Linked DNA regions of Oryzias latipes. The protein of the gene in region 1 purifies or fractionates together with the protein of each later gene. This does not show direct contact. Links are inferred from orthologs where the notes say so. Each region holds a gene or a part of one and is shown on either strand. Other genes may lie near its edges. The genes, in order: eif2ak3 and tbl2.

What was found.
Region 2: the proteins of eif2ak3 (region 1) and tbl2 purify together in Homo sapiens (affinity purification with western blotting; 3 studies listed by BioGRID). This does not show direct contact. The link is inferred for Oryzias latipes from reciprocal best matches to the Homo sapiens genes EIF2AK3 and TBL2.

Annotation. Positions count from the first base shown.
Region 1 is NC_019880.2:22,050,116-22,053,943, reverse strand, and holds the end of eif2ak3 (eukaryotic translation initiation factor 2-alpha kinase 3), read left to right. Parts: coding exon 1-55; intron 56-1,375; coding exon 1,376-1,558; 3' UTR 1,559-3,415; downstream 3,416-3,828. UniProt on the Homo sapiens protein: Metabolic-stress sensing protein kinase that phosphorylates the alpha subunit of eukaryotic translation initiation factor 2 (EIF2S1/eIF-2-alpha) in response to various stress, such as unfolded protein response (UPR).
Region 2 is NC_019872.2:24,987,968-24,990,740, reverse strand, and holds part of tbl2 (transducin beta-like protein 2), read left to right. Parts: intron 1-283; coding exon 284-408; intron 409-1,763; coding exon 1,764-1,948; intron 1,949-2,435; coding exon 2,436-2,587; intron 2,588-2,773.

The DNA.
Region 1 (3,828 bases):
GGAGGTGAGAGTGCTGCGCTTCCCAGAGGTCTTCTCCAGAAACAACAGTCAGGAGGTGAGTGAAGGTCGTCTGCTGCCATCTAGTGGCACCACACACTCATGAGTCTGGGTTCACTTTGTGCCCCAGCAGCTGTAATACCACTGTACAGTCATTCTGTGCTCAGTCACAGAGAAAACAAGCATTTTATGAGTTTCCACCTAAAACCTGAGCCGGTCTTCATGAACACACAGCTGACATCCTGCCAACGGGAAATGGTTTTTTTAAGCCAATTAAATAATTGGGTCCTTTCAGCAGGTATTGAACAAGTGTACCACATTAGTTAAATGCCCCTTTTGACCCGTTAAATGACTAATTATTTAAAATAACATTGATCTAAAGCTAAACAGGGGGGTATGTTAGTCACGTCATCTGGGAGATAAACGACCTTCAATAATAATTTAATAAACGGGATTATCTGGATTAGGTTGACTCCAAAGACGATTAGATAAGTAGACCTACAAATGTCACTGAAGTGCACCAGAAACATGATTACTGTTGTTAAAAATCTGACAGAGTAGTAGATTTAGCTCTGTAGAAAGAGGTAGTCTAATAAAAGCTAAAGAGCACTGATCTAAAGAAGAAAATCACTAGAAAGTGTTGAATTTATCTGTCCAGGAAGTTGTTTTTACTATGCAAACTATCCCATAATAACATCTAACAAACAAGGACTTCCACACAAGCATTAAAAAAAAAGTAGACATTTTGCTAAATGCAAAATTACTGCAAATGAGATGTTATTCCATCCAATAATTAGTATTTTTTGTTGGTTTAAAGCAAATGGTTCGTGTTTTTGGAGTTTTTCTGTGCCTCCTTGAAGTTCATTGTGTTTAGAACGTGTGCGACTCGTTTCAGAATAAAATGTGAGCAAACTTAGAACAGATTCTTGGTACAAATTGGCGCAGCTTTATAAATCCTCATAAAATCTAAAACTAGCACTTCTTCCCAGAAGATACTGTAAATCAAAATTTTTGTTTTTTAAAATGTTGCCAATGAGGGTCAGTCTAAGCTGTAAAATGACATCCTTAAAGTAAAAATACATGTTTTTCTATTGTCAAGAGTTTAAACTAAAATGGACTCATTTTAATAATAATAATAATTGTCTTATTTCTAGATATCTGAGACAAAAACGTTGCTTGAAAAGGCGTTAAGCCGCCTCAAACCTGCTCAAATATCTTCAATGTCTAAAAACAAGGTTTGAAAAGTTTCCAGTCAGTGATTTTTCGGACTCCTTCAGTTGTGTTCATGTTGTGTTGCGTGCGTTCATCTCGACAGGATGTCCGTGTTGCATCACGGCGGCTCTGATTGCACTCGGCTGTGTTTTCTGTCTGCTTCCAGCTGGGCATGGTCCGCAGCATGCTCTCCCTGAGCCCCAGCGAACGCCCAGAGGCGGCCGACATCACAGGAACGCCCCTCTTCCAGGAGCTGGAGCTGCCTTGCCGGCTGGCTGTGAGGCAGCGCTCCCGCACCTACAGCTCATCTTCAATGGGCCGGCCCTCACGCCAAACCTCCGCCACCTGAAACACGTGACTGCGGTGACCCTCGGTGACCCCTCTGTTGGGAGGCCGGGTCCTCCTGAAACACAAAGCCGCAGAAATCCGCATCGCTTTTTCAGGAGATCCTGCACAGTTTGGGGTTTTTGTGTTTCGTTAGTTTCAGTTCAGACTGTCCCACAGAAGGCAGGCATGTGTTCATGACCACAACCGCCAACCGCCGATGGGTGTAGATACTTCAGCTGTGGATGATAAACACGTCTGCATCATGGCGGCTGATCTCCAACTGAAACCTCAGTCTTGGGCTCCTCCAAACCTGCTGGAACGCCTTCTGGGTCGGTCAGTGTTCGCTCACCTTCACCTCGCCCCACACCTGCAGGACGACTCTCCACAGGGGACCTTTGACGCCCACCATCCTCCCGATTCCAGGGACCTGCTGTCCACATCCTCTACATGCCTGACCCGAAAGACCAAAAAAGGACCTTTGCCCTCTCTCTTTTTTTTAAAGAGTTAGTAACGTATTTCCTAGAGAGAAGCTTTCCATCCAGGCCAATCACCTTGAGGGCGGGGCCAGTGACCCCTCAGAGGGAATGCTGGGCATTTGACTGGTGTCTCTATGGGGAAGTGTGGTGCTGAATGTGAGCTGATGGGTTTTTCTCAGAGGGACAATCATTTTCTAACTGTACATATTCTCTGGGGGGGAACCTCGTTTCTCTCCGTTGTTTTTTTTTGGATCTTGTACAGACAGTTCGACTTGTTAAAGGCTTTTTTTTAATGAAGAAACTGTAAGATAGTGTGATATACTGTGACACGGGAGGCGAAGAGGGGACAACCTCTGCCGTTAACGGAAAGCTGAATGTCATGGTGGGACCTCCAGACACACGGTGGCGGTCACCTCTAACAAATTGTTCATTGTTTTTTTTTGTTTTGTTTTTTCTCATTTTGCTCTTTAGTGGACCCGACCGGAGGGTTTGGGTCTGAACAGCTGGGGGGGGGGCTGCTGCAGGTACCAGAGTGCCATTTGAAAGTCAGTGAAGTGTACTTTTCTGTAACCGATAACTCGCCTCGTTATCCGTCTTGACCCGACCCCATCCCGCTGGTGGAAACACGGCACACCGGGGCAGAAAGCGCCGGGTCGACCCTATGCACTGCGGGGGGGGCCTGGACCTGATCACATGATCCTCTTCTGAAGTGCTGGGAGAGTCACATGACTTGTTAGGAACTACACACACACAAACTCTTATTTTGTAGAAGTCCTCTCAAAGACTGTACTTTTCCAAAAAGGAAAACCTTCATTTTTTTAACACAAAGTGCAGTTTTTTTAGAATTCTGCTGTGTTTTTAGACGACTGCAGAGCCGACTGATGATGCTCCTTCATCCGCCCTGAAGAGCGCCGTCCTCGCTGGTTTAACGGGCTCTCCTCCCGCCGCCGTGAACTGCAGAGGTTATCATGAAGCTTCCAGAGCTGAAAGGCGAAAACGCTCTTCTTCATCAAACCCTTTTTGGACAAACCTTTTGTACAATTTTTTTCTACTTCTTAGTCTTGGTCAAAGAGTTTAATGTTGGTTTGAGGAAACATTTTCATCCAGTAGGTGGTCTGGAGTTACTGAGAAGGTGAGCTTCGATGATGAGGAGTCCAACTTTCCCAGCAGAACACCCACCTGCTCCTCTTCATCGTGTTGATGAAGTGGTGTCCTCGAGCCCCGCCTCCCATCACACTGTCCATAGTGAATTTGTAAATATGTCAGTTTGCTTTATTTATGTTTTGATGCTGCGATCAATCCTCGCTGGGTTGGAGTTGTAATGAATGTGCTTCCCGGAGCGCGTTGGAGTATGACGACTTCTTAAAAGTCTAAGTTTAATAAACTCTTCTATTCCATTCGTACAGCTGTGCGCCTCTCATTCCGTCCGGAGATTTGCTTTGTCTCCAAAATAAGAGAAATATCGGCAAAAACAGACTTCATCCCAGGGGCGGAGCTATGGGGGGTTGGGAGGGGGGCAGCTGCCCGCCCGCCCAGCAAAAAGCTTTGCCCCCATAATCTTTGAGTCAATATTAGCATCTTTATTGAAATGGAGTAAGAAATCAGCAATACTAGCCCCTTAAAGCATTGAAAAAGCTGTCTTTTTAAATAAAATCTCCATCTCCAACCTGACAATCCAGAGACGAGACCCGGGCGCAGAGCAGCAGTGTAAAACGCTCCTCTGAGCCTCCCTTAGGGTTAGTGCCGGTGCAAAACCCATGCAGGGAAAGTCAAGCAGGTCCGAGCTTTAGCTTATGTGCTGAAAGACAAATGAAAG
Region 2 (2,773 bases), on another chromosome or scaffold:
ATATATATATATATATATATATATATATATATATATAAGTGTTTCTATCACAAACTTAATTGTTTAGTTTTTCTTATGGTTCTTAGACGTGATATTAGATCATCCATCTTTTCCCTACAGAAAAAATAAATCTTGTTTGATACTGTAGGAGAAGGATTTGCTGCAAGTTGGAATCTCATCTTTTAGCTGCTTCTTCATTTGTTGCCCTTATTACTGTGCAACACTGAGTGACCTGATCTCACAGATTCACTCATAGAAGGTATAAACCTCTGTTTGCTTTCAGCTGATGCCAGTTCTGTGAAAGGAGCGACATCCAAGAAGCAGAAGCAGGAGAAGCAGCAGCGCAGCCGCAAAGATAAACCGACTCTGCACACTTTCAGTCATCCTCTGCTGGCAGCCTCACTGAAGGTGAACTGGCACACGTGTCAAAGGAAAATCACAGACCTGTTGAGTAATCTGCAATATTTTTACTTAGTTTTTTTAGCAGCTGTATTTATTTTTTAACACTGGTACATCCATACAAGCATAAGTCTGGGGCAGGATGGTCCCACAGCATAAGACACACGGTGGATGATGGTTTTTTTATTTAAGTTTTTCATTTGACATAAAAAAGGGAGATGTGGAGGTAGGGACCAAGGTTGGTCCAAAGGAGTTAAATAAATAAAATAAAACACGGCCTAGCTATCAGTATCATAAAACAAGAAAAGTCTCACAGACTAAGGGATCCAAAATATGTAATAGGTGAGATCAACAACTTACCTAGTGTGTATAACAAAACGATAAGCAACGCGAGGTGTGCAGGGTACCTTGTCTTACCTGTGCACAAACCTCCCACACTCTCAGAGGACTGAGCTGCACACATGCATTCACAAAGTGGGCTGAAGAGCAAGAGAGAGCCTCCTTCCCAGAGTTCCTCATGAGATTTTAGACAGTCCTGGTGAAGCAGTGAATTCTACTTGGAGGTCAAGGTGAAGGAAAAAGGAGAACAGAGAAAAACACCATCTTGTAAACATTTACGCCCATTGGGCTTGGAAGTATGATTGCTTGTTTTCACAGAAGTCATCTGCTTTGCTATAGAGGGGCTACCTAACTACTTTCAAACACCTTAGAAAAAACAAATTATTTTAGTATTACCTCTTAAAGCATGTCCATACATTAAAAAATACCTTCCATTGGCTGATAAATCTTCTCTAATTTTCAAAAAATATTTTTTTGGTTATAGCTCAAATGCTTAGTTTGATAAATGGGTGGATGAAATATAAAATTGTTCACTAAAATGTAATATTTTGGAATTAAAAAAGGGGAAATTTACAGCAAAAACTAGCTCTTAATTATTTTTTTTAATTTCATTAAAGACACTGAACTATAGGTTTGTTTAAAATTTAAAGTCAATTAATGAAAGATAAAACGTTTGACCTGTTTTATTATGAACTTATCCTCTTTTGTGGGGAAATCAGTTTATTTCTATCATAAAATGTTTTCAAAATCCACGAACCAACTCATTCAGTAAGTCTGAATATGGCTATAATTGGCGTATTCATATATTTTTAGATATTTATTCTGTTTTTCACAAAGAAAGATTTGTTTTGGACAGAATGAGGCAGCACTAATGTCACCATTTCATGTAAAGTTCATATAACCATGAGGATTGTGTAGCTTTTCCATATCTGTCGACTTCCTTCACCACCTGCTGCTTTTAACTTTACACTGTAAACCTGAGCCTGAGTTGATCTGCAGTCCTCCGTTTGCATTCTGCTCCTCAGGGCCACAATGGGAAAGTGACGTGCCTCGATTTCAGCAGCAATGGGAAGTACCTGGCTTCCTGTGCCGACGACCGCACCGTCCGGATCTGGAGCACCAAAGACTTCCTGGACCGAGAACACAAATGTCTGCGAGCTAATGTGGAGCTGGATCACGCCCTGCTGGTCCGCTTCAGTCCAGACTCCAGGTTTGTTTTGCAGACTGGCTGTCCGCCGCCAAGATTCTGAATCCACTAGATTCACAAGCGATTTATGAGGTCATTTGTTTAAATATATATGATTTGGTTACGAAAACCACTGATTGCATACACAGAGATATAAACTAAAAAAAGGTGTAACTTGCAATGAAAAAAACCATTAATAATATTGAAAACTAAGCGATTTTTATTCTGAAGATAAGCGGTAATGCTTTTATTTTGAAAGCATTGTAACAAAAGCTGATGGGTTACTTTTAAATGAAAACAAATGTATGGATTTGATGAACTGATATTGGGTTTTGGAGGTAGAGACTGATTTGATGTGGATTATTCAAAGAAGAGTTTAGTTTGAATCTGTTACAGTTTCTTACACTCTCCGGCACTATCCTTTTCTATTTTCATCCATCCAGCATCGGAAGTGCAGAACTTATGTCGGAAAATGTGCTTTAAGAGACTCGCTGTGTATTTTCCACTGCAGAGCGTTCATCACCTGGCTGGCGAACGGAGACACTGTTCGCATTTTCAAGATGATCAAAAAAGATGACGGCACTTTTAACTTCAAGGCCGCTCCGGAGGATTTCCCTCAGAAACACAAGGCGGCCATTCTGAACATCGGCATCGCTGAGACGGGTACGGAGAGAGTCTTTGAAGCTGCATGTTGGCTTTCGCTGTAATTTTTGCAAGAACATTTAACAAATGATTTTACAGCAACCAATGAGGCTTCCCAGGGAACTTCCTGCTATTTTGTGTGTTTAGTTGACATGGTAGTAGCTTTCATTGTATTTATGGATGTCATGGGTCAACTTTTTTTTTCTA